Linked DNA regions of Macaca fascicularis. The protein of the gene in region 3 interacts with the protein of the main gene of each other region in a pairwise test. Links are inferred from orthologs where the notes say so. Each region holds a gene or a part of one and is shown on either strand. Other genes may lie near its edges. The genes, in order: USHBP1, LURAP1, TXLNB, cancer/testis antigen 55, CEP57L1, KRT15 and NMI.

Evidence for each region.
Region 1: the proteins of TXLNB (region 3) and USHBP1 interact in binary tests that used the Homo sapiens proteins (3 or more experiments, as listed by UniProt). The two-hybrid records come from large-scale screens. The link is inferred for Macaca fascicularis from reciprocal best matches to the Homo sapiens genes TXLNB and USHBP1.
Region 2: the proteins of TXLNB (region 3) and LURAP1 interact in binary tests that used the Homo sapiens proteins (3 or more experiments, as listed by UniProt). The two-hybrid records come from large-scale screens. The link is inferred for Macaca fascicularis from reciprocal best matches to the Homo sapiens genes TXLNB and LURAP1.
Region 4: the proteins of TXLNB (region 3) and cancer/testis antigen 55 interact in binary tests that used the Homo sapiens proteins (3 or more experiments, as listed by UniProt). The two-hybrid records come from large-scale screens. The link is inferred for Macaca fascicularis from reciprocal best matches to the Homo sapiens genes TXLNB and CT55.
Region 5: the proteins of TXLNB (region 3) and CEP57L1 interact in binary tests that used the Homo sapiens proteins (3 or more experiments, as listed by UniProt). The two-hybrid records come from large-scale screens. The link is inferred for Macaca fascicularis from reciprocal best matches to the Homo sapiens genes TXLNB and CEP57L1.
Region 6: the proteins of TXLNB (region 3) and KRT15 interact in binary tests that used the Homo sapiens proteins (3 or more experiments, as listed by UniProt). The two-hybrid records come from large-scale screens. The link is inferred for Macaca fascicularis from reciprocal best matches to the Homo sapiens genes TXLNB and KRT15.
Region 7: the proteins of TXLNB (region 3) and NMI interact in binary tests that used the Homo sapiens proteins (3 or more experiments, as listed by UniProt). The two-hybrid records come from large-scale screens. The link is inferred for Macaca fascicularis from reciprocal best matches to the Homo sapiens genes TXLNB and NMI.

What each region holds. Positions count from the first base shown.
Region 1 is NC_088393.1:17,583,620-17,587,760, reverse strand, and holds the start of USHBP1 (harmonin-binding protein USHBP1), read left to right. Parts: upstream 1-1,341; 5' UTR 1,342-1,784; coding exon 1,785-1,838; intron 1,839-1,933; coding exon 1,934-2,082; intron 2,083-2,383; exon of another isoform or gene 2,384-3,102; coding exon 3,103-3,541; intron 3,542-4,141.
Region 2 is NC_088375.1:188,482,537-188,486,462, reverse strand, and holds the start of LURAP1 (leucine rich adaptor protein 1), read left to right. Parts: upstream 1-1,126; 5' UTR 1,127-1,219; coding exon 1,220-1,417; intron 1,418-3,926. UniProt on the Homo sapiens protein: Acts as an activator of the canonical NF-kappa-B pathway and drive the production of pro-inflammatory cytokines. Promotes the antigen (Ag)-presenting and priming function of dendritic cells via the canonical NF-kappa-B pathway.
Region 3 is NC_088378.1:43,294,908-43,298,407, reverse strand, and holds part of TXLNB (beta-taxilin), read left to right. Parts: coding exon 1-93; intron 94-3,161; coding exon 3,162-3,257; intron 3,258-3,500. UniProt on the Homo sapiens protein: Promotes motor nerve regeneration. May be involved in intracellular vesicle traffic.
Region 4 is NC_088395.1:141,581,834-141,585,964, forward strand, and holds the start of cancer/testis antigen 55, read left to right. Parts: upstream 1-1,331; coding exon 1,332-1,425; intron 1,426-2,707; coding exon 2,708-2,892; intron 2,893-4,131. UniProt on the Homo sapiens protein: Plays a role in spermatogenesis, possibly acting in the regulation of the autophagy pathway.
Region 5 is NC_088378.1:13,248,794-13,252,188, forward strand, and holds part of CEP57L1 (centrosomal protein CEP57L1), read left to right. Parts: exon of another isoform or gene 1-465; intron 466-1,152; coding exon 1,153-1,230; intron 1,231-1,326; exon of another isoform or gene 1,327-1,345; coding exon 1,346-1,590; intron 1,591-2,702; coding exon 2,703-2,847; intron 2,848-3,395. UniProt on the Homo sapiens protein: Centrosomal protein which may be required for microtubule attachment to centrosomes.
Region 6 is NC_088390.1:62,557,296-62,561,404, reverse strand, and holds the start of KRT15 (keratin, type I cytoskeletal 15), read left to right. Parts: upstream 1-1,309; 5' UTR 1,310-1,372; coding exon 1,373-1,870; intron 1,871-3,022; coding exon 3,023-3,105; intron 3,106-3,227; coding exon 3,228-3,384; intron 3,385-3,928; coding exon 3,929-4,090; intron 4,091-4,109.
Region 7 is NC_088386.1:46,827,282-46,830,276, forward strand, and holds the end of NMI (N-myc-interactor), read right to left. Parts: intron 1,832-2,995; coding exon 1,725-1,831; intron 912-1,724; coding exon 729-911; 3' UTR 501-728; downstream 1-500. UniProt on the Homo sapiens protein: Acts as a signaling pathway regulator involved in innate immune system response.

The DNA.
Region 1 (4,141 bases), on a different chromosome or scaffold from region 3:
GGGCTGGTGGGGTGGATGACTCATGCCTGTAATCCCAACACTTTGGGAGGGTGAGGCAGGTGGATCACCTGAGTTCAGGAGTTTAAGAGCAGCCTGGCCAACATGGCAAAAACCCATCTCTAGCCGGGTGCAGTGGCTCACGCCTGTAATCCCAGCACTTTGGGAGGCCAAGGCCGGCGGATTACTTGAGGTCAGGAGTTCAAGACCAGCCTGGCCAACATGGTAAAACCCTGTCTCTACTAAAAACACAAAAATTAACCAGGCGTTGTGGTGGGCACTTGTAATCCCAGCTACTCGGCAGGCTGAGGCAGGAGAATTGCTTGAACCCAGGAGGTGGAGGATGCAATGAGATCGCACCGCTGCACTCCAACCTGGGCGACAGAGCGAGACTCCATCTCAAAAAAAAAAAAAAAAAAAAAAAAAAGAAGGTTGGGCGTGGTGGCTCACGCCTGTAATCCCAGCACTTTGGGAGGCCAAGGCAGGTGGATCACGAGGTCAGAAGATCGAGACCATCGTAGCTAACACGGCGAAACCCCGTCTCTACTAAAAATACAAAAAAATTAGGTGGGCGTGGTGGCGGGTGCCTGTAGTCCCAGCTACTCGGGAAGCTGAGGCAGGAGAATGGTATGAACCCGGGAGGCAAAGGTTGCAGTGAGCCAATATCGCACCACTGCACTCCAGCCTGGGCGACAGAGCGAGAAGAGAACTGTCAGCCCACAGTGAAGAGACAGGCAGAGAAGAAGAGTTCACAGGGGAGCCAAATAAAAGCCATATCAGCTCAGGGGAACATTCTAGCTCTTTTTTTTTTCTTTCTTTTTGAGACAGGGTGTTGCCTTGTTACCCAGACTGGAGTGCAGTGGCGTGACCATGGCTCACTGCAGCCTCAACTTCCAGGTGTTAAGCAATCCTCCCACCTCAGCCTCCCGAGTAGCTGGGACTACAGGCATATGACACCACTCCTGGCTAATTTTTATATTTTATGTAGAGACGGGGGTCTTGCCATGTTGCCCAGGCTTGTCTTAAACTCTTGGGCTCAAGCGATCTGCCTTCCTCAGCTTCCCAGAGTCCTGGGATTACAGGCGTGAGCCATGGTGCTCGGCCCATTCTAGATCTTGAGAAATAAAATCCAAGCGTCAGAGCTAGAAGGGCCATGGGCTTGGAGGCTGAGACGAGGAGGGGCTGAAACCTTGGGAGTCAGGTATGTGTGCCCCGCTAGGGCTGCAGGAAGCTGCTGTCCTCAAAAAGGAAACAACACAATAACAAGTCACATGACCAGGGGAGTGGGTTCCTGTTTCCTGGTCCCTCCCAGGCCAGGCTTGGCCAGCCCAGGCCTGACCAGGCAGTGGCCAGAGTGACCCCAAGACGGCGTCCAGGGACTCAGGCCTCTGATCAAGTTACCCCCAGAAGATCAGAGAGGTAGAGAGCTGAACCCGTCATTTAGGAGGGCCGCGGAGGAGAGGGAATTATTGAGATTGCATTTCCAGGCTCAAAGAGAGGAGGGAAGGGGACAAAGACGTAGTGAAGGTAAAGAAGGCAGAGAAGAAGGGGGAGATCCAGACAACCTTGTTAGGTAGTGAGCTGCCTGTCCAGGAGGCATTCAAATGTGCCCAATCAACATTGATCACAAAATCCCTTCCTGAGGGGTAGTCAATGTCCCATTTCACAGCAGAGGAAATTGAGGTTGTCCTTTGTCCAGGACAACAAAGGCAAGAGGTCATGGCAGGCTGTGGTTTTAGGGGTTGACGAAGGAGAAGCATTCAGAGAGCACTGGCTTCTGGACAGCAATGAGTGCCCGGGCCACGCGGCCCCGAAGCCGGCGAGGGAGGCATGCTCCACCCGTAAGTGTCGCCCTCTCCCCTCCACACCCAGCTCCTGGGGACCCCAAGGTCCCATCCTGCCTGGCTCAGAGCGGGGCCACGGGGGTCATTTGCAGGGTGAACTGGACCCCGTGGCTGAGAGTTCAGAGGAGATTGAGGCAGCCAGTGGGAGCTCCAAGCTCAGCTTTGCCCCACCTCCTGTGAGCTCCGGGCTGGAACAGCTGGGCCCCATGGAGGAGGTCAGTGGCCAAGGCCTAGGAAGCAGGTAAGACCCCCTTGGTCTGTGCCCTTCACTCCAGTCCACATGCATCTTTGCCATCTGCAGATCTGCTGATGTGCCCTCTCTGCTCACACACCTACCATAGCTCCCTGTTGCCTTCAGCCTGACTTTCTTTTCTTTTTTTTGAGTCTTGCTCTGTCACCCAGGCTGCAGTGCAGTGGCACAATCTCCACTCACAGCAATCTCTGCCTCCTGGGTTCAAGAGGGAGCCTCAGCTTCCCGAGTAGCTGGGATTACAGGTGTGTGCCACCACACCCAGCTAATTTTTGTATTTTTAGTGAGACAGGGTCTTGCCACGTTAGCCAGGCTGGTCTTGAACTCCTGACCTCAGGTGATCCCCCCACTTCGGCCTCCGAAAGTGCTGGGATTACAAGTGTGAGTCGCTGCCCCAGAAGACCCCATTTCCAGAATCTTCTGTCTCTCACCTTCAGGACTTTCCCACTGCCCGTCACAGTCCAACTTACTATTCACTCTGCTTCGTAGCCCCAGGTCTCCCCTCCAACTTCTCCACCACCTCTGTCCAGCCTCTTCCCTGAATTCCCAGCCTCCCAGTCTCTCCCTGGGATGCAAGTCCCAGAACACGCAGCTCTTGCCAACTCTGCCCCGCTCACACCTCCCGAAGACCATGAAGTTTAAGCCCTAAGAATTCCCTGCCCTGGGCTGAGCGTTGTGGCCCATGCCTGTTATCGCAGAACTTTGGGAGGCCAAGTCGGGCGAATCACCTGAGGTCAGGAGTTTGACATCAGCCTGGCCAACATGGTGAAACCCTGTCTCTACTAAAAATACAAAAATTAGCCGGGCGTGGTGGTGGGCACCTGTAATCCCAGCTACTTGGGGGACTGAGGCAGGAGAATCACTTGAACCCAGGAGGTGGAGGTTGCAGTCAGCTGAGATCGCACCACTGCACTCCAGCCTGGGCAACAGAGTGAGACTCTGTCTCAAAAAATAAAAAAGAATTCCCTGCCCAGCATGGAGCGACTCAAGTGCCTGAGTTGGTGTCCACAGGACCGACAAGAAGACGGATGGGGGCTCTGGCAGGGGACTGGCCTCAGCCCCCGAGGTGCCCCACAAACCTGCAGTGGAAGCCTACCAGGCCCCAGAAGCAGCCCTACAGTACAAGGAGACTGTGCCCCCTGGGATTGGGGCCCCCGATGTGTTTCAGACCCTCCAGCACGCTCTGAGCTCCCTGGAGGCAGCGGCTGCAGCCTGGCGCCACCGGCCCCCCAGCCATCCTGGGCCAATGGAGTTGGAAGACACAAGCAAAGGGGGACCAGGTCCCCTTGGGAAGCAGGAAGGGGCAGGGAGCAGCCAGCGAGAGGCAGCTCGCCTGGCTGAGAGGAATGCCTGGCTCCGGCTGGCCCTGAGTAGCCGAGAGGATGAGCTGGTCCGCACGCAGGCCTCCCTGGAGGCCATCCGAGCTGAGAAGGAGACGCTGCAGAAAGAGGTGAGTGGGGCCATCCTGAGTCCTATGTGGCTCTCTGTCTGAGGGAGGAGGCAGGCCCGATGTAGGCAATATTCATTCATCTGTTCATTCCAAAAACCTTTTGAGGCTGGGTGTGGTGGCTCACGCCTATAATCCCAGCACTTTGGGAGATGGAGGCAGGAGGATCCTTTGAGGCCAGGAGTTCAAGACCAGCCTGGGCAACACAGCAAGACCCCTACCTCTGCAAAAAATAAAAAATAAAAATCAGCCAGGTTGGCCAGGCACGGTGGCTCACACCTGTAATCCCAGCACTTTGGGAGGCTGAGGTGGGCGTATCACAAAGTCAGGAGTTCAAGACCAGCTTGGCCAACATGGTGAAACCCCATCTCTACTAAAAATAAAAATAAATAAATAAATAAAAGCCAGGTGTGGTGGCATATGCCTGTAATTCCAGCTACTCAGGAGGCTGAGGCAGGAGAATCACTTGAACCCGGGTGATGGAGGTGGCAGTGAGCTGAGATCACATCAATGTACTCCAGTCTGGAGAACAGAGTGAGACTCTGTCTAAAAAAAAAAAAAAAAAAAAAAAAAAAAATCAGCCAGGTTGGCTGGGTGCGGTGG
Region 2 (3,926 bases), on a different chromosome or scaffold from region 3:
GTAGGGCAGGGGTAACTATCTTCTCATTGTAAATCCTTCTGCAACCACGGGCTGGAATTACTTGAATTACAAGCCTACACAAACCAAAGTTTTCATGACTGTTCATTACCTGTTAAATAAAACCCAAACATCTCAGAACCATCTTCTGTAACCTTGTTATCAAAGTGTGGTCCCTTATTACTTGAAGCGTGGACCAGCAGCATGGCCATGACCTGGGAGCTTATTAGAAATGCAGGATCTTGGCGGGGCCCAGTGGCTCACACCTGTAATCCCAGTACTTTGGGAAGCCGAGACAGGCAGATCACTTGAGATCTGGAGTTCAAGACCAGCCTGGCCAACATGGTGAAACCCCGTCTCTACTAAAAATACAAAAATATTAGCTGGGCGTGGCGGTGCATGCCTGTAATCCCAGCTACTCAGGAGGCAGAGGCAGGAGAATCGCTGGAACCGGGGAAGGCAGTGGTTTGCAGTGAGCCGAGATCGTGCCACTGCACTCCATCCTGGGCAACAGAGCAAGACTCTGTCTCAAAAAAAAAAAAAAAAAAAAAAAGGCAGGATCTCAGGCCCCACCCCGATTTACAAAATCAGAACTGCATTTTAATACGATCCGCAGATAATTCATATGCACAGTCAAGTTTAAGGAGGAGGATCTTGCTTGTAAGCTCAATGTGGACCTCTTCAGCTTCAATACTGGTTGCCCCTTTCTACTCCATTAGTCTGAATTCTAGCCCCTGGGGTGTTGTGTGTGTGTCTGACTAAAATCCAGCCATCGTTTTAGACCCAATTCCTCTGCTCCAGGAAGACTTCCAAGCCTTCTGCAGCTCTCTGTTACCACTGTTCCTTAAACTCCCACATCTCTGACTGAAGCTGCTTAGACTTCATTCTGCAAACATGTATTGGGCGCCTGCTGTGTGCCTGGCTGGATTCAGTGCCAGGGTGGGGCGAAGGCGCTGAGGTCTCCGAGTGCTCTTTCAGGTCCAACTCCAGAACCGCCCAGCCCCACGCAATCCAGGGCCGGAGGTTGTGTGCGCAGCACTCGAATATACCCACGGACAGTGCTGCGCGGCTTTTCTGAGTGTTACGGCACCCTCCTGCCGCCCGCGCGGCTCTCGGGCGGGGACCCACCGGTTTTGCTCCGCTTTAGCAGCGGCGAAGGGAGGACCCCCGCGAGCCGGTCCCTGGCGTCCGGTTGCCCAGCCCTTTTCAGGCTTGGGCCCGCATGGAGGGAACCGTGGAGTCCCAGACGCCTGACCTGCGGGATGTGGAGGGTAAGGTGGGCAGGAAGACCCCTGAAGGGCTGCTCCGTGGGCTGCGAGGCGAGTGTGACCTAGGAACCTCTGGCGCCCTGCTGCTCCCAGGGACGCCTAGCACCGGCCACGACTTGGGGGACAAGATCATGGCGCTGAAGATGGAGCTGGTGAGTGCAGACTCCATGGGCCAAGGGGACGAGTCCCCAGTTTAGGGCCAGGAGGGACGAACTCATGCTCTCAGAGTTAAGCTGGAGAGGAGGTAGTTAAAACTCTCCACCTAACTGCTCAGAATCCCTCCCAGATCAATCCGTAAACGCTGGGGTGGAGATGGAGTGACATCCATTAATTGTCCCCCAAGAGTGAGTGGGGGTGTTGATAGGTCCTGAGGAATTGGGGTGGGAGCCGTGGGTTTTGGAAGTTATTCCTGCCAAATAATTGGGAGGAGAGAGATGAGTACTGGGAAGTACTGAGAACCCAACGCAGCACAAATTCCCCCCGCCCGTATGGGCCACCTATTCCCCCCCAGTCCCCGTTGTAAGGCAACCGGTTTTTTCTCCTTCTGCTAACCGGGAAAGGGTTTAGTTCCTGTGAGGCCCGCAGTGTTCAGCACAGAAAAGATGTGGGTAAAGGGGCCTATCTGCTGTAAACTGTCTGGACCAGGGGCACTGAAAACCTTCTCCATTTCCTCTACATCCCCCAGCCCTACTTAAAATAATGGAAAGTTCCTAGACCCATAGCAGGAACAGAGAGTAACAGCACCATTGGTGCTGATTCCCTCACCTCAGACTCAGTCTCCTCCCATCCAATCTCCCAGGTAAACTGGATATTTGGATCTCATCTGCACATTCTTGGGGAGAAGAGGAAACAGCAACCTTCCCGTTTCTCTGTTGCTGCTGGTCTAGATTCAGAGCCAAAAGGGCAGCCAAGGCCCTGGCATGTTCCTCAGGGCCCTGATTCCGGTGAAGTGGGTGATTTACACCTGCCACTACTTTGCAGCCAGTTCTGGGGAACTGAGGAATTGCTATCAGCTTCCTGGCTTACAACCAGGAGCCCACAGTGAATATGTCAGCTAATAAGTCTTTCTGGACCCCCACTGTGTGCGCAGCCTGTGCCAAGCTGGTCTGTGAAGGAGCAGGGGAAGGAAGTCATGGGGGCTCTTAGACCAGCCAGGGCTCTAATGCCTGAGCTGAGAGACTGGGAAGAGAGTCTGGTGGGTGGAGCAGCCAGGAAAGGCCCTCTGGGAGAAGGACTTGAATGCCAAGTGTGCACTTGGCCTTGAAGGTTGGAGGTGAGTGCCAAATTCTCCAGAGCAAGGCTGTGACTGTCCCCACCTAAGCAGGGGTTTGCCTTTGTCTCGCTGTACAAACTTTAGCTCAAGGCCTAGTAAGAGCCTACCTAGACTGTCTAGTTGCTTTGAAAACTAACTTTCACCCAGCACATGTGCCAGGCAGCTTGCTGAGCACTTTACTTGATACTCTCTTCATCTCCACAGTAACCATGTTAAGTAAGTGATATTTTATAGATGAAGAAACTGAGGCACAGGGTGGGCATGGTGGCTCACGCCTGTAATCCCAGCACTTTGGGAGGCTGAGGCAGGCAGATCACTTGAGCCCAGGAGTTTGAGACCAGCCTGGGCAACAAAGCAAGACTCTGTCTCTGCAAAAATTAGATGGGTGTTGTGGTGCATGCCTGTAGTCCCAGCTACTCTGGAGGCAGAGGCAGGGGGATCACTTGAGCCCAGGAAGAGGAGGTTGCAGTGAGCTGAAATCGCACCACTGCACTCCAGACTGGGTGACAGAGCTCAGAGCTAGACCCTGTCTCAAAAAAAGAGAGGGAAGGAGGGAAGGAAGGGAAGAAGGGAGGAAGGGAGGGAGGGAGGATAAAAGAAAAGAGAAAAGAAAACAGAGGCACAGGGAGTTTAATAACTGCCCAAGATCACACAAAAAGCATGGCCATGATTTGAACCCAGATCATCTGACTGCACTTTGCATGTTTACCTTTGAGACCTGCTTTGTGCCAGATAGTCTAAACACATTTTATGTCATTGAAATGAGAAAACTGGTCATCATTTCTCCCATCTTACAGATAAAACATGCTTGCAGATTCTGAACTCACATAGGGAGTCAGTGGAAGAGCCACGCCTAGTCTCTCTGGCTCTCTTTTCTGCCTTGGTGGAAACGATCTGTAAACTTTAAGGGGCTGCATTTAACTTTTGATTTTGTCTCTCTGTATTCTTGACCCTGCTTGCCTGGGGCCTGAGGCTGCCCGAGAAAGGGCACAAGGGAGGGAGCCTTCTGGGGCCAGAACGAGGAGAGATCCCCATCCTATTTTTCTCCCTCCTCAGGACAGGATGTTATTAATATTAATCTCTTCCTGTGCTCTGCCCTGCCTACTGGGTTGCACCCAGGAAGGACAAGCAGTGGGGCAAGGGGTTTCCCTTGGGGCTAATGAAGGCAGGACTGGTTCAAGCCCTCTAAGGACTGTCCTTCAATTGTTCCTCTCCCAGCTTTCCTTGCACAAAGTGGGGAGGCCTACCCTTGAGGCCAAGGTCAGTCCGCCTCTAGGCCTCATCCCTCCTGCTTTCTTCCTCTACCCACCATTCAAAGGTTGAGTGAACAAGCCAGACTGGGATATGTGGGAATGGGAAACAGTGGCAACCTCTTCTTAGTTCTCCCA
Region 3 (3,500 bases):
CTCACTCTCTACTCAGGAAGGTTTGAAGAATTCCAGAGCACGCTAACAAAAAGCAATGAGGTGTTTGCCACTTTCAAACAGGAAATGGACAAAGTGAGTATTGCTTATCACCAACAAAATATTGACATTTTCTATTTTGACAGGCAAATTTCCTTTGGTTTCCTTTTTCTCTCACTAGGATATTTTGGTGCATTTCACAAAGTAATGAAATGTTTATAAGTAGGAATGAGGTTTGGGTTGTATTTTTTAATTGGTAAGTATCTAGTGTATTAATCTTAGCAGGAGTACAAAAATTCTAGGTTACATTTTCACTCTGAGAAAGAATAGTTCTTTTTCTAACCCATGGATAACTTAAAAAAAAAAAAAAAAAACAGAGCTAGCAATTTAACATTTTGTTGTATATACTAAAGTCAAAATATAACCTTCTAAGAATTAAAAAAAAAAAAAAAAAATTTGGCCTGGCGCAGTGGCTCATGCCTACAATTCCAGCACTTTGGGAGCCCAAGGCGGGCGGATCACAAGGTCAGGAGTTTGAGACCAGCCTGGCCAAGATGGTGAACCCCGTCTCTACTAAAAACACAAAAATTAGCCGGGCATGGGGGCACGTGCCTGTAATCCCAGCTACTCAGGAGGGTGAGGCAGGAGAATCACTTGAACCCAAGAGGCGGAGGTTGCAGTGAGCGAGATCATGCCACTGCACTCCAGCCTAGGCAACAGAGCAAGACTCTGTCTCGAAACAAAACAAAACAAAAAAAACCTTTATACAAATATACAAAAGAATGTTAGAATAGGAAATGCCATCTTACAAGAACCTTCTTAGAAGAAAACGTAACTTATATAATATGATTTAACTGACAGAGCCTTGAATGAGAAGATGAAAGCCTGAATTCAATTCTCCAGTGGTGTTAGACAATTCACTTAACTTCCTGAATCTAATTTACTTTTTTTTGAGATGGAATTTTGCTTTTGTTGCCCAGGCTAGAGTGCAATGGCGCGATCTCGGCTCACTGCAACCTCTGCCTCCCGGGTTCAAGCGATTCTCCTGCCTCAGCCTCCCAAGTAGCTGGGATTACAGGCATGCACCACCATGTCTGGTTAATTTTATAGTTTTAGTAAAGATGGGGTTTCACCATGTTGGTCAGGCTGGTCTCGAACACTTCACCTCATGTGATCCGCCCACCGCGGCCTCTCAAAGTGCTGGGATTACAGGCATGAGCCACCACTCCTGGCCTCTAATTTTTTTTTTTTTTTTAATCTATGCAGATACCACTTTCCCCTGCCTAACTCACAAGATTGTGAACTTAAATTAATGTATTTTGGAAGGGATTTAAACTTTTTACAATTATTTTTCAAATATGAGGTGCCAGTATTATTATTTAATGTAATGTTTAAAGCTTGTTCAGTGTCTTCCCAATACAAAATCAGCATCAGAACTGTGTTTCTGAACAGGGATTGGCATTAATGGTTTTGAAGTGTAGAAAACATCCTCTTAAAATATATTTTTAAAATACTATGATATATTTTACAATTAAATGAGCAACCTGAAGAAGATTGACACTTGTTAAATGTTACAGTTCTCCCATTGCAGAATAGAACTATCTATTTTCTTAAATTTTTTTTTTTAATTCTAGCATTTTAAGACTGGTATAAATTAGAACAGGAAAAGATGTTTTTACTTCAAAATTATGTACTTTTAAGAGTGGAATAAATATTAAATCAGGAGTTCTTAATCTGGGGTTAGTAGTTGACCTGAGAACTCCCTAGAAATTAGCAAAGAAAGATGCACATATGCACATTTTTGTGAAGTGTGGTCCCACAGCTTTCACCACATTCTTAAAAAGATCGATGACCTTAAAGTTTACAAATAACTGGCTGGGCGCAGTGGCTCACGCCTGCAATCCCGGCATTTTGGGAGGCCAAGGCTGGTGGATCACTTGAGGTCAGGAGTTCGAGACCGCCTGGCCAACATGGTGAAACCCTGTTTCTACTGAAAATACAAAAAATTAGCCAGGTGTGGTGGCAGGCGCCTGTAATCCCAGCTACTCAGGAGGTGGAGGCAAGAGAATCGCTTGAACTCGGGAGGCAGAGTTTGCAGTGAGCCGAGATCGCGCCACTGCACTCCAGCCTGGCGACAGAGTAAAAAACAAACAACAACAAAACAAAACAAAAAAACAAGAAAACAACAAAAAAAGAAGTTTACAAACTACTAAACTAAAATATGATCAAAATTAAAAACCTAGCTTCTCTACAGAGCCAGGGGCTGACAGTCTTGGGCCCAGCCTCTGGCCTCCATGGGTACCCAGCCTCAGGCAGCTTGGCACCATGCCACGAGTGCCCAGCTATGTTTCATCCAGGAAAGCTGCATCTGAATACATGCCTTGTTCTCCACTTCATCCAAGCAAAGAAGAGATCCTACAAACAAGAACGTGAGTAGCCTCAGGTTCAAAAAAGACGGGCTGCATTGTATTCACTTCTCACTTCCTCGCACCTAGCCCAGGGCCTGGTGACCACCAGACATTCCATATGCTTCATTAAATGAAATAAAAGAATGGCAGCCCCACTCTTCTGTTAACTCACCTAAATATGACTCTACCTCTCTGAACTGTGGTTTCCACAGTTATAAAATCGGGGCTGAAAATAGAACCTTCCTTGTGGGACTATTTCAAGGATTTTTGTGAACTCTACCTCACTCTATAAATGTAAAGACCCAGAAAATACAGAGGCTGCTTTTGTGCAGCTACTTCTCAGATGTGCCCAGATATTATCAACATTTTAATGGCTAAAAAGGCCATGCCAGCTTTCCCACTGTGATAGTCTTCTGTTCAATACCGTAAACATCCTAAATTACAGGCTTGTTCATGGGACTCCATAAAGATATTCTTCTTTTAAATGAAAGAAAAAGCAGTGACAAAACCATGTGCCCCTAAGTCATTTCCCGTTTCCTGAATTAGCTCGGGTGCAAATAAGTTTGCTCACCACTGCCCTAGCTGGCTCAGAAATAAATCATGGCTCTGCTGCAGTCTTCATTCTTGACATTGAACATTTGTTTGCTTCAGCAGCTGGTAACAAAAGGACTTCTCCTGGTCTCACATATGGAGCTAATAGCTTCCTTGATGTATTAACTCTTCAAGATAAACACTCACACACTCTAATTTCTGTAGACAACTAAGAAAATGAAGAAGCTGGAAAAGGACACAGCCACATGGAAAGCCCGATTTGAGAACTGTAACAAAGCTCTGTTGGACATGATTGAAGAGGTGAGGAAGTTTCTCCCTTAGCTTTAATCCCATCTGTCTAGTCAATATATTCATACTTATGATACAATTATAACCTGATAATAGTACAAATGGTTATGTTTGAAAAGGAGCTGAATTTTCGGTGGAGGGATGTGACATTTTAAATTATAATAAATATAAAAAGAGCAAAGTTCATTTAGAATCAGGTCCAGACTCACAAAGAGCTTTGTGACCCTAAGTCACATCCTTACCTGTTGATTCAAT
Region 4 (4,131 bases), on a different chromosome or scaffold from region 3:
CTTCAGGGACTTTACACATCATGGACAATAAAAGTGAAAGGACTTCCAGTGTCCCACTATCCCACATGCAGCCTGAACCTCTATTACCTCTTTTACCATACTTCCTACTCTTCTAGCTATTCACTGCCTCTGCTCTAATCACTTGGCTTTTCCTTGAGTACATCAGGCACAGTCTTGCTGTATGGTCTTTGCACAAACTGCACCCTCCATCTGAACGGCTCCCACCAAAATAGCTGCCTGGCTAACTCCAACATCTTTCTCAACTATTGCTTTCCAATGAGGGCTACTCTGACCATGCTATTGTAAAGTGCAATCCAACCCCCCATGCCCAGCACTGTGGATCTCCCTTGTCCTGCTATATTTTTCCTCGGCATTTATTGCCTTCCAACATATCATATATTTTATTATGTGATGCTTAGTGTCACCCTTTTGTCATCCTGTGAAAAAACTACCCTCACGGGGTGAAGATTCTTGACTCTTTCATTCACTAACAAATTTTAAGAACACAGAACAGTGTCTGGCTCACAGTTAGTGCCCTACGAGTTTTGCTGAATGAATGAATAAGGGTAATGTGTATAGCAGAGTAATGTAAGTATAACCAGGTAAGCGATGAGTTCATGGTAGCAATGATCATAAAAGGATTCTATTATAAATTATCACTGGACTCAAAATGGGAGTCCTAGCACAAAAGACACGTACTTGCCATCACTAAAACATTGCCTACCCAAATGATGCCTTTTCTCCACAAAATTGATCCCTGGTGAGGACTAACTATTGACTGCCCACTGAGTGGTGACTCCTTATACTAAGCACCACGAATACAGGGGCAAGAGAAGGATGTTTGGCTGCACAGACGGTGTTTTAGGCACCCATCCTCCCAGGGAACCCAAGAGAAGAGCCCTGTACCTCCTTAGTATATGGAGAACCCAAGCTCCCAAGCCATTTCCCCCAGGCCATCCTAATGGCACCCTCAGCCTTGGTGGGAGAAGCGACGATGTTCCCACCCATCACCTTTTAATAGCCACAGGAACCTGCCCGCCCACCCACTGCACGCCCATTGGCTGGACAGTGGTAGAGGCGAGCCCTGATGAGCGCATGCTCAGAGGGAGAAGTCAGAGGGGAACCTGGGAGCTCCTTTGGAGGCTGCGATGTCCCTGACTCTCCCAAGGGGGGCTCACTATCGGCTGGGTCCCATGCCACAGAGGCTGAGGAGGAGAAGCAGGAGGTGAGTCCCTGAGGAGACGCCGTGACCTGAGGGCTTCCCTTACTGAGGAGACTTCGTGCTTCCTCTGTCACAAGCGGTGCCCAGGCTGGTGGTGACAACTGGGACGATGCTCAGGCTTCTGAGACTTGCTTTGGCCTTCTACGGGAGAACGGCCGACCCTGCAGAGCAACAGGGCCCACAGCAGCAGGGGCTCCCACAAGGTATTCCTCTGTGTGTCCACTTTTCCCCCACCCCAGAAGCCTCCCAGTAGGGGTTCTCCTCACCCCTGGAATGAGGCTGTGGTAACTCGGGCGGGTACAGCATGTGACGGCGGCTCCATCTTGTGTGTGCATGGGGAGGCAACCCTAGTCCTCAACAAGTCCCTGAGAACCAACTCCCAAACTCTCCTGTCCATCTAAAGCGGGAAAGGTGTTGACAGAGAAGACCTTGGGGGCTGTACCTCCTGTGCTTTCCCCCCACGTGGTTGTGCAGCACATGCCTATTTATATTTCCAGTAGGCGAGAAACTCCCTAATTTGCGAGTGAATTTAGGCTTGTATCCCAAATGGGAATGTAATTTGAAGCCAAGTTGATACCTTATACTTATCCGATCCCGAAGGCACAGAACTCCTGTGGGGCAACTGCTGAGGTTTGATCCCTAAGTATTGCTGATCAGCTAGGCTTGTGCAGAACAAAAAAAGAAAGAAAAGAAGAAGGAAAAAAAAATAAAGAAAACCATTCAGATGCCGTTTTGGGCTAGCCTTCAATCTCCAGATATCTTTTAGTCTGCTGAGACAGTTAAGTATCTATAGAAAGTGCTACTCATCATAATTGGTGATAATGATGAAGGAACATAATAGGAGCAGAAGCTTGACTCATATGTAGACATGGTGCTAACAGGTAACATTTACACACTCTTGTGCAAGGCACTCACAGCTCTCGACAGTTGGTGTGTATGTTAATATTAATATTCACAAGCTGGGCTCGGTGGCTCACACCTGTAATCCCAGCTCTTTGGGAGTTCCAGGTAGGTGGATCACTTGAGGCCAGGAGGTGGAGACCAGACTGGGCAACATGGCTAAACCCCATCTCTACTAACAATTCAAAAATTAGCTGGGTGTGGCGGCACACACCTGTAGTCCCAGTTGCTTGGGAGGCTGAGACATGAGAACCGCTTGAACCTGGGAGGCGGAGGTTGCTGCTAGCCCAGATTGCGCCACTGCACTGCAGCCTTGGTGACAAAGCCAGACTCTGCTCAAAAAATTAAAAAATAATTTAAAATTTTAACATTTAAATTTTGATAAATTTTTAAAAATATTTTAAAAACCTACAACAACCCTATTAGTCGAAATTGTGATTGTTGTGGATTGACAGATGAAAACGAGGTCAGAGATGTTATAAAACTTCTCTGTCCAGGGTTATGCAGATGGTGAGTGTAAGACTTATTTGTAGTAGGTGTTTGCATTTGAGGCCAATAATATGACCTAGTTTCTTTATCTTGTAGGTGACACCCAGTTGAAAACTGTGCAGGGAGTTGTCACAAGTTTCTGTGGTGATTATGGCATGATTGATGAGTCGATCTTCTTCAGTAGTGATGTTGTGAGTGGCAACGTGCCTCTAAAAGTTGGACAAAAAGTAAATGTGGTTGTGGAAGATGATAAACCACTTTATGGATTCAGAGCAATCAAGGTGAGATGTGCATGAGTTTGGAAATTGTGTCTTATCCCAGTGGGCTTTCTTTCTGCATCTTTCTTTTCTTGTATTAATCCAACATCTCTGCTGTGATCCGTAGAGGGGATGTAGACCGCAATTTGAAGCCCCACCCCTCTGAATCTGTGGGTTCTTCTGTTCTAATAGTTGTAGTAATTTGTGCTGTAAAACATAAAAATTACTTATCTATTATTCTAATCTTTGAACAATATGAGTAACAATAATAATTATTGAACTCTTTATAATCCTGCAACTTCCCTTATCAGGTAAAAAAACATTTTCTGTAGTGCGCATTCATAGCAGTGGAATTTCTATGTCAAACCATGTGCGATGTAAATATTTTAAAAAGAGCTTCATGGAATTATAATTCCATGAAGAATGTCATTTGTATTTTCATAGGAGTTGCATTGAATCTGTAGATTGCTTTAGGTTACGGACATTTAACAATATTTATTCTTCCTGTCCATGAACATATGATGTATTTTCATTCATTCCTGCCTCCTTCAATTTCCTTTGTCAATGGTTTATAGTTTTCAGTGTTGCAATCCTTCACCTCCTTGGTTAAATTTATTCCTATTTTAATTTTTTTGAAGGTGTTGTAAATGGGATTGTTTCTTGATATCTTTCTCAGATAGTTCCCTATTGTTATATAGAAATGCTACTGATTCTTGTATGTTGTTTGTGTGTCGTGCCACTTTCCTGAATTTGTTTATTAGACCTAGTAGCTTTTTGGTGATGTTTTCAGGGTTATTTATATATAAGAGCTTCCCGTCTGCAAACAGGGTCAATCTAAATTCTTCCTTTTGAATTTGGATGCCTTTCGTTTCTTCTTGCCTAATTTTTCTGGCTAGCACTTCCAGAAGTATGTGTGATAGAATGGGCAAAAGTGGGCATTTCTGTCCTGTTCCCGGTCTTAGAGGAAAAGCCTGGAACATTTCCCCATTCAGTATGTTGTTACCTGTGGGCTTATCATGTATGACCTTTATTGTGTTGAGGTGCACTCCTCCTATATCTAATTTGTGGAGTTTTTAATCACGAAGGAGTGTGGAATTTGATCAAATTCTTATCCTGCTTAAATTGGAATGATCCTATGACTTTTGTCCTTTATTCTGTTCATGTGATATAGCACATTTATTGATTTGTGTATGTAGAAAATTCCTTGCTTCCCAGGGCTGAATCCCTCTAGAACATGGTGAATGATTTTTTTAATGTGCTGTG
Region 5 (3,395 bases), about 30 Mb from region 3:
ATCATATGCGTAGATTCATGTCACTATCACAACAATCAAGATACAGAACTCTTCCACCACTAAAAGACTCCTTCATGCAATCCCTCTATAGCTACACATCCCCTTCCCTGAACATTGGCAACCTCTAATCTGTTCACCATCTGTATATTTTATTATTTCAATATTATTATATAAATGGAATTATACAGTATGTAACTTTTTGAGATTGGCTTTTTTCCCTTGAGGTCCATCCAAGTTGTTGTATGTATCAATACATCCTTTTTATTTCTGCATGATATTCCGCATTACAGATGTACCACAATTTAACTGTTCATCTGTTAAAGGATATCTGGAGTCCGGCATGGTGGCTCATGCCTGTAATCCCAACAGTTTGGGAGGCCAAGGCGAGTGCATCATTTGAGGTCAGGAGTTCAAGACCAGCCTGGCCAATATGGTGAAACCTCGTCTCTACTAAAAATACAAAAATTAGCCGGGCAGTAGTGGCACACACCTGTAATCCCAGCTACTTGGGAGATTAAGGCAGGATAATCGCTTGAGCCTGGGAGACAGAGGTTGCAGTAAGCCAAGATTGTACCATTGCACTCCAGTATGGGTGACAGAATGAGACCCTGTCTCAAAAAAAAAAAAGGATATTTCGATTGTTTCCAATTTTTTAGCTATTACAGATAAAGCTGCTATGAACATTTGTATACATGTTTTTATGTGAACATAAGTTTTCATTTTTCTAGGATAAATGCCTAAGAGAGCAATTGTTGGGTGATGTAATAAGTACATTTTTAGTTTTATAAGAAACTGCCAAACTGTCTTCCAAAATGGCTGTACCATTTTGTATTCCCACCAACAATATGTGAGTGGTTTTATTTTCTCTGCATGCTTGCCAACATTTGGTATTGTCACTATTTTTTATTTTGGCCATTCTGATGGATGTGCAGTGATATTTCACTAATTTTAACTTTCATTTCCATAATTAATGATGTTAAATATCTTTTCATATGTTTGCCATACATATGTCTTTGTCAGTGAAATTTCTGTCCATGTCTTTTTGCCCATTTTCCAGTTGCATTGTTTTCTGTTGAGTTTTGAGAGTTCTTCATATCATAAATAACTTTTAAAATAATTTCTTATTTATGTTTTTTTCTTGTCAATCTCTAGAAAACTAAATGTATAAAGAGAGGACCACCTTGGCAAATTTGTTCAAAGTTTGGAGCACTGCCTTTTGTGGCTGAAAAGGTGAGAGGGGATAAAATGAAGATAGTTGTTCAAAAAAACTCCTGTTTCATTGTAAGTGCTATTAAAATATCTTCAGTCATTTAAAATTATTCTCAGTTGTTTCTTTTCCCATAAGTCCACCAGTGCAAACTGTTCTGTGAATGCAAGTATGCAAAACCTTTTGCAGAGGAGGCAACATCGTGGCCCACATATCCTTCAGAAACCTTTTAACGTGGCTGAGACTAGATGTCTCCCCAGGCCTTCTAGAACAACTTCCTGGTGTAAGGCTATTCCTCGTGACTCAGAAAAGTCCATTTCCATTTGTGACAATTTATCTGAACTTTTGATGGCAATGCAAGATGAGCTGGACCAAATGAGCATGTAAGTATTTATATTTTTTTTTTTTAAGAGACAGTGTCTTGCTATGTTGCCCAGGCTAGTCTTGAACTCATGGTTTCAGGCAGTCCTCCTGCCTCAGCCTCCCAAAGTGCTGGGATTACAAGCGTGAGCCATCGTGCCTGGCCAGCAATTTTTATTCTTTATCAGGAGAAGTACCATATCACTTTTTCTTCTTAGTCTTAAGAACAATACCACTTATAAATTCTTAAAGGCCTTACTTAGCCATTTGGAAAGATTTGTTGTCACTATTTTTCATTGTATTTGTTACTATTTAAAATTTCAGTTCTTTATAACTCCTACTTTTTCATTCTAAGGTATTTCTGTATTCCCAAGATCTGGACTGATAGCTACTACTGTCATTCTAACATATAGGATCTGATGACCTTAGATTAAAACTCACAAAAGCGTTTATAAGAAAAGCTCTCCTTTTGTGTTTTAGAATCTTTTAGCTGAATGAATTATTTAATTAGACAAGTAGGAATGTAATTCCTTGTTTTAGACTCTGGCTGGTCTGCATTACAAATTTTGAAGCATCTATAGTAAGGAAGATTTCCATATGGGATACATTATATTGTGCCCACTTGCTTAAATATATATTCAATAGAAATTCCAGAACTATGTGATTTGGCTGACCAGCTAGTTGACCTAAGACATCTGTAGAAGATACAGCTGTTTCTGTTAACAGCATTTCAGTAGGCTAACTCCAAATCCAGAAATTTTTCAGGCAAATACTTCCACAGCTGGAATTCTTCCAAAGATCCTATGTCAATAATGAGGAAGAAAGCCCTTTAATACCTCTGTTAAAGACATCACACATTTTACTACATTGAGCTATGAGCATCAGGAATTCACATATTTTTTAAAGTTGCTTAGCAGTCTTAAGATATTTGTAAAGGTATTTAATTTCAAATCACAGGAGCCTGGTTATAGTTACTGTAGATTTAATTAAACAACCTTAAAGAAAGACGCTGTTTTTAAAGGTTAATATTTAAGTCTGACTAAAATTTATGATTGAACAGAAAATTGCTTAATTATGGCAAAGACATATATGCAATAAACTATAGTAGTGCTTAATATTTGCTATTCTTTCATAGGGAGCACCAAGAACTACTGAAACAAATGAAGGAAACTGAAAGCCATTCAGTCTGTGACAACATAGAATGTGAACTAGAGTGTTTAGTCAAGAAAATGGAAATTAAAGGAGAACAAATCTCCAAACTGAAGAAGCATCAAGACAGTGTAAGAAGGCTTTACTAAGAGATTTTAATAAAAAGATAAAACGTGGATTCAGTGTTGTATCTCTGTACGACTTTCCAAATTTGAGGTCTGTATATGGGATTTAGTGAAAAGATGGATGGTAATCACTTAGGCCTATGACAGAATAGAGCCATCTGTCCCACTGGAATAACATGGACCTCCTACGTAACTCTCCAAGTTAAAATTTTTTAAGTGAACAAATAGGTTCAGTTATGTATTCAGAAATTGCTTTGGGGAAATTGTGAGGTAAACTAAACTTGCCTTAGCAGCCCTCCAATTACCCTTTTAGCATTCTTTTTCCTCTTCCTTCTCTCCTCTAATGCTTTAATGATACCCCTTATGTCAGCAGGTCTCTTATTCACTACCAGACATAAACCTGGCTCCTAAGCAGTGCCCCAGTCCTTAAAGCATGATTTCCTCTTTCCCAAAACAGGCTGTGTTGTGTTCCATTCCCTGGGGACCTATACTCAGCTAGCTATAGTGAGTAGGACAGGGATGGTGAGGAAAACTCTATACTTCTGTTAAGATGT
Region 6 (4,109 bases), on a different chromosome or scaffold from region 3:
CAGTCTTACCGTGGTAATTGGTAGAGTCAGGATTTGAACCCGGGCCTCACAGTCTTACCATGGTAATTGATAGAGCCAGGATTTAAACCCCAGGCCTGAGGGACTCCGGAGCCCTGTCCACTTCACCATGCTGCAACCTGGGCTAGGAATCCTCTTCCTGAGTTTCTGTAAGCCCTGGGGCCAGGTCCGGAGGGCCGGGCCACACCTCCAAGAGGCACTGCCCACAGGTGTCAGTTGTCCCTGGAAAGGTGTCCCTGAGCCGGTGGCAGAGAAAAGGGCTCTCCTGAGTGTTCAACTCCCCATCTTTGTGAAGTGATGCCTTGGTCTTCAAGATCTCCAGTGTCTTCCAGCCTGCCCGCCAATCTCCCATCTCTTCCCTTCCACAGCACTCAGGCACATAGAGCCTTCTGCAGCGGCCCCTCCCCAGCCAGCACTTGACAGGACAGATGGGGGCTAATCTGGCCCTGCTAAGCAGCAACATGCTGCTTGGAACTTGCCCCAGCCTTATCAGCGGAGGTCTGCCCCAACACATCCCAGAAGCGAGCAAAGGTTCAGCGCTATGCAGTTGGCAGGTGTCGGGATCATCAGTCATCCCCTTGTCAGCCCCGAGCCTGCTGGGCTTTTGTGAGGGTGCCAGGGACATAGGCTGGAGGCTGGCAGGAGGGGAGTAGAGGTGGGAGGAGGGGAGTCCATCTGCAGCACCAGGGAAGGGATGGATGCTGGCTCCTCTGGTCACCTCAGCTGGAACACTACTCAAGGTCCCTGGCTCCTGTCCTCCAACTGGGGGTCCTGCATTCCCATCCCCAGAGGCCTCCACTCCCCCTGAGCCCTGCAGTCTCTCACTCACTCACAGGGTTTTGAGTTGGATAACACAGTGTAATGATCAAGAAGTGGACTCCCAAACCGAGAACACGGAGCTGTCCCCTTGGGCAGAGGCTCAGGGCTCGGGGCAGTGGAGAAGTCCAGCTGAGGGCACAGTGGCTTGAGCTGCTCTCAGTTCAGCTAGAGGCTTTGGTAGCTGTGCTGTGATGAGAGTTCACTCCCTGCTGCTCTCTTCTGGCATGGAGAGATGAACCTGTAATCCAAGTGTTAAAACCGTGCCCCGGGGGAAAACACTATTAATTCTGAATCATCTCTTTTGTTGCATTAAAAAAAATAGAAGAGAAAAACTTCACACGAGCCACTCAAGGTGTGCAGGCAGCTGTGTTTGTCAGGAAGGCAGAAGGAGTTGGCTTTGCTTTGGGGGAGGAGACGAGGTCCCACAGCACCCTCTGAGGGGAATATAAGGAGCTCCAGAGTGCAGCCTGGCCTGGTACCTCCTGCCAGCGTCTCTTGGGTTTGCTGAGAACTCACGGGCTCCAGCTACCTGACGATGACCACCACATTTCTGCAAACTTCTTCCTCCACTTTTGGGGGTGGCTCTACCCGAGGGGGTTCCCTTCTGGCTGGGGGAGGTGGCTTTGGTGGGGGTAGTCTCTATGGGGGAGGTGGAAGCCGAAATATCTCAGCTTCTTCTGCTAGGTTTGTGTCTTCAGGGTCAGGAGGGGGCTACGGGGGTGGCATGAGGGTCTGTGGCTTTGGTGGAGGGGCTGGCAGTGTTTTTGGTGGAGGCTTTGGAGGGGGCATTGGTGGGGGTTTTGGTGGTGGCTTTGGTGGTGGCGATGGTGGTCTCCTCTCTGGCAATGAGAAAATTACCATGCAGAACCTCAATGACCGCCTGGCCTCCTACCTGGACAAGGTACGTGCCCTAGAAGAGGCCAATGCTGACCTGGAGGTGAAGATCCGTGACTGGTACCAGAAGCAGGCCCCGACCAGCCCGGAACGCGACTACAGCCAATACTTCAAGACCACTGAAGAGCTCCGGGACAAGGTGAGTCCTCAGATGTCAAAGAGAGGGGAGCAGGTGGCTGGTACCCTGTATGTGGCTCTAATGTCGGTGTTACTGCTGACTCGAGGAAATCCTTTCCTGCCCAGGCAACGACTGTCTGGTGTGTAACCTCAGCAAATTTGGAATGCACCTGCTGTCCAGGTGCAGAGGCTAGTGCACATCTTCTCAACTTGGTGGTGCTGGGGGAGGAAGGGAGGGGTCTTGGGAGTCTGGTTAGGACCAACAGGGGCACAGGTGGGGGCAATTATAAAGAGCCAGGGGCAGTAGCTCACACCTGTAATCCCAGTGCTTTGGGGGGCCAAGGTGATAGGACTGCTTGTGTTCAGGAGTTAGAGGCTGCAGTGAGCTAATGACTGTGCCACTGTACTCCGGCCTAGGTGACAGAGTGAGAACCTGTATCTAATGGAAAAAACCAATAATTAAAAAAAAGAGCAGCTCGCCTTCCCTACCTCATGCACCCTGCAGGCTTCTGCATAAAGTATTCCTTCACCTCTTTGGCAAGAATGGGATTGGAGTGTGGCCTCATGAGTCCCAGATGCTAGAACCTCTTGTCTTTTCCTATAAAGAGACCTTTTGTGCCAAAAGTACTGTTGGGTCTTAGGAGACCTGGGAACTCATTACACATTCTGTCACCCACTCACTCACCTTTTTACTCCCTGAGACTGGGTTCTTCATTTGTAAAAGGCCTTCTTTAGCTGCCCTCCAGGTTGCTACTGGCTGGAATGTTCTGTAGATCCATGGCTGTGTCCAAGATGTGCAGGAGGCAGTGACCATGAGCTGTCCACAGGGGGGCTGGTGGAGTGTCTCTGAGAGGGCTATTGTCAGAGCTGACCACACCCCACTCCACCACTCTTCTGGGCAACCAATTCCCACAGGCAGTACTGCCTCCTTGGTCTTTCGTGCCCTGGAGACAAGGAGGGCAACTCCTCAGGTGTCTCAAGGAGGCTGGTATGGGACAAAACCAGAAGTGGACACTCAAGATGCGGCTGGACTCTGCCCACCCCAGAGGCCCTACAGATTTTTGTTGGTGGTGTCAGAGGGGTGATTGTCAGTGAGGGGCTGGCCTTGGGTGCAGAGTGGAGAGCAGCAAGGGAGAGAGAGGAGTCCTCTAGGCACCAACTCTGTCTCCTGCAGATCACGGCCACCACCATCGACAACTCCCGGGTCATCCTGGAGATCGACAACGCCAGGCTGGCTGCAGACGACTTCAGGCTCAAGTGCGCTCCCCCCTCCCTCTCCTCTTCCTGCGTTGCCCACTTTACTTGGCCTTCTCCTGGGTCTGACTCAGGCAGCCAAGACCCCTCCCACTTCCTTCTTTGGCCTCCCTCTCTCTCCTCAGGTATGAGAACGAGCTGGCCCTGCGCCAGAGCGTCGAGGCTGACATCAACGGCCTGCGCCGAGTCCTGGATGAGCTGACCCTGGCCAAGACTGACCTGGAGATGCAGATCGAGGGCCTGAATGAGGAGCTGGCCTACCTGAAGAAGAACCACGAGGAGGTGAGAGCTGGCCCCCATCACCCTTGAACCTGAGAGAGGTGGGGAACTTCTTCCCAAAACGCACTTAAATTGCCCAGAGGGAAAGACAGCGGCTCCAGGAAGCCCTCCCAGATTTTCGCGAGATTAAGTCGGTGGGAGGCAGAGTGGGGCTGCTGGTACTTCCTCATCGTTGGCCTGGGGCTTAGTGGTTCAGAAACACCCCCAAACCCCAAAACCAGGTGTCCTCATGGAGAGGAAGGGGCACTGACCTGTGGTAGCCCAGACCCACAGCCAGGCCAGGTGGCCAGTACGAATGACTGACTTCCTCATTGGCTTTGTGAGCTCACATCAGGGCCCTACAGTCTCGGGGTCCTCCCTTTGGTAGGACCTAGAGCAGCAGAGAGCTCCTCAGAGTTGAGGGGTCCATGTGACCGAACCTCTTCATGTGCAATAGGGAACATCGGTTGGGGTGCGTTAGGGGCAGAGCCAGGATTGGCATGTGGGACCCCAGACTCAGGTTTCTCTTCTGCTCTCCGTCTCTAAATGGGCCCCTCCCACCCTGCAGGAGATGAAGGAGTTCGGCAGCCAGCTGGCCGGCCAGGTCAATGTGGAGATGGACGCAGCACCGGGCGTGGACCTGACCCGCGTGCTGGCAGAGATGAGGGAGCAGTACGAGGCCATGGCGGAGAAGAACCGCCGGGATGCTGAGGCCTGGTTCTTCAGCAAGGTGGGCCTGATCTCCTGCC
Region 7 (2,995 bases), on a different chromosome or scaffold from region 3:
GCATGATGAGTGATGAGTCACTAACTTTGTATTTACCTCTCTCTCCATGCCAAGGTTTTCAAACTCTTATACCAACTGTTTCCATTGTAAGTGCAAAAGAAAGAAAAAGCTAGTCCTTTACGAGCTCTATTTGGAGAGGGGATGGCTTGGAAGGAATCAAGGGACACATGGCACTTGCGTGAACAAAAATTCAAGAAAAAGACCATGCTCAGCTCTGAGAAGCTTTAGAGTTGTGGAGTGAAACACTACACACAGTGGAAAATTGTTGCTCTTGGAGTCCTTCGAATCTTCAGTTGAGTTTACAGGAATCACAAACTGCTGAATGTAACTGCCTTTGTTTTGGAAAATGTTAAGAGTCAAGTCTGCATATTGGTGGGCATGGTCTGCCATTCACAACTGAATTGGCCCACAAGACCATAACAGGATAAGCCAGCACTAGCAGGGGACATCTGAATCACTTAAGGTTGATTTCAGCAGACATGGCACCAATATACATAATCTATAAACAAAACCTTTTATTACAGTGCATTTATTGTAATTGAAAACATGCAGCAAGCACCATTTGAAACAATGAAGATTCAGACACATGGAAATAAGTTTTGTATCTAAAAATAAATGGATGATAAAAATTAAAGTTTTCATTTTTTTAAGGAAAAGCATATTTATTTTTGTCAAACATTTACAGTAATCTGCGTTAAAAAGCTATAGTTTTCATGATTCTGTTAAGTCTATTCTTCAAAGTATGCTATGTGAGGTTGATCTAGAGAACACTTGACCACATCTACTTCTCCACCTCCATTCTTTGCCCGTTGAAAGTGAATGTTAATTAAATCCTCCACAATTTCTTCATCCATTTGAATGCCTTCCATTCCTGTCAGAAGCACTGTCCTCTTAGATGTTCCTGAAAATATCTAAGTAGGAAAAACAATGATAAATAGAAAGATTTCTGAGAGCTTTGAATTACAAAACTTTACATTCATAATCTGCTTAATATTTTTTACTTTATCTTAGAAGACACAAGAAATCTTAGGAAGATTTTCCAAGCAAGAGAATATCCAAGTCAGATCTGAGTTTTAGAAAGAGAACTCTGATGGCATTATGGAACATAGAGGAAAGGGGGGAAGCTCTGGGGACAGTTTTAGAAAAAGAACTCTGGTGGCATTATGGAACATAGAGGAAAGGTGGGATGCTCTGGGAACAGAAGGACCAGGTAAAGAGGTAGTCAGAAGCGGAGCTGGCAAGATTTAGTGACCAAATGAATGTTGGAGGTGAAGCAAACTGAAGAGTTAAGTGAGTTCTAGCTTTTAAGTCAGTGGACTAGGTAGATGGTGGTACCATTGGATACCTGAGAAGGAAGAGAAAAGGCAGCAGGTCTGGGATAAAGATACTGAGTTCAGAGGAAGTAGGCAGGAATTCTTTCTCATGCTCACTGACAGTAGACACATGAGAGAAATGCAGCTATGTCTCCATGTACAAAAATAAAAATTGTGCCATTATCTGAGTAATTCCAGTTTTTTAAATGGTATACTAAAGTACTGTTTTGCATTAAAACACTCCTTCAAAAGACAAACTCATTTTGCACTAAGCAAAAATGAAGTAAAGAAACCATTTGGCTATCCCTCATTGATAAGATTCATATAGTAACAGACTCACAACAACTTTATTTTTTGTAGGGTGGGTTTGGGCAGTAAGTTCTCAAAATGAGAGAAAAGAGATGACTTTACCTGATACTTTCTCAAGTGTATTTCTGTGTATGGAGAAACAGTAACTCTATGGCAGGTTTGATTTATATAAAGAGGATATTCTTTCTTTTTCAAAATCTTGTCAGCAACTAAAAGCAAAGCAAAAACAATACTTGTCTCTTTTATATCACAAACATTTTTAACCAAAGTTAAAACTTCCTTCAAAAAGAGCACTATTACAGTAAATACTGAGTTAAAAGATTAATTTTTAAGAAATTCTAAAACCCACTTTGAAGACTTCACAGTACATAATTTTGAAAACTACAAGACCAAACAATAATGAGGTTTAAAAGCTTCATTCCATCTTGAATTATTCACTGCAGTCAATCAATGCACAAAGGGTTGCAATGTCCTCAGACAGATCTACTTTGAGCTACAAAAAATACGATAGTTTTTTGCAGAAAGTAACCCACTCATCTAACAAGACTGGAATGTTTCCCAGTTTCTCAAAAGCTATAAGTGAAAACTATGATTAGAATACTATTAAAAAAATATTTTTTCCATATATTCAATAAACTTAAGTAATGATGTTAACCAAAGCAGGGAGGGGACTGAATGTCATCTAGAAAAGCTGAAAGGAAATAAAAATTCATCAGTTTTCTACAACACAAAGAATAGTCTATTTTTTAGCAGTATTTTTGTCTCCTAGAGGGATGAAAGGATGTGTATCAAGACTGTAACGTGTAACAGAAACAGTTCTTAGGAATATCCAACCATCTTTTTTATGACTCTTCTCACTCATCTACCTTGGATCAATCAGCAATACGGTACGATGATTAAGAGTGTAGGCCCTTATTGGCGAGGATATGGAGAAATTGCAACCCTGAGGCATTGCTGGTAGGAATGTAAAATGGTACAGCCACTGTGGAAAACAGTATGACAGTTCCCCAAAATATTAAAAATAGAACATGATATGATCCAGCAATTCAACTTCAGGGTATATACCCGAAATAACTGAAAGCAGGGACTCAGGCAGATACTTGCTCATTAATGCTCAGAGCAGTATTTTTCACAATAGGCCAATAGGCAAAAGGTGGAAGTAACCCAAGTGTCCACCAACAGATGAATAGATAAACAAAATGGATATATAAAATACACACACACACACATACACACACACACATGGAGAATATTATTCAGCCTTTAAAAAGGATGAAATTCTGATACCTACCACAACATGGATGGACCCTGATAACATTATGCTAACCAAAATAAGACAGACATGAAACGGACAAATATTGTATAATTCCACT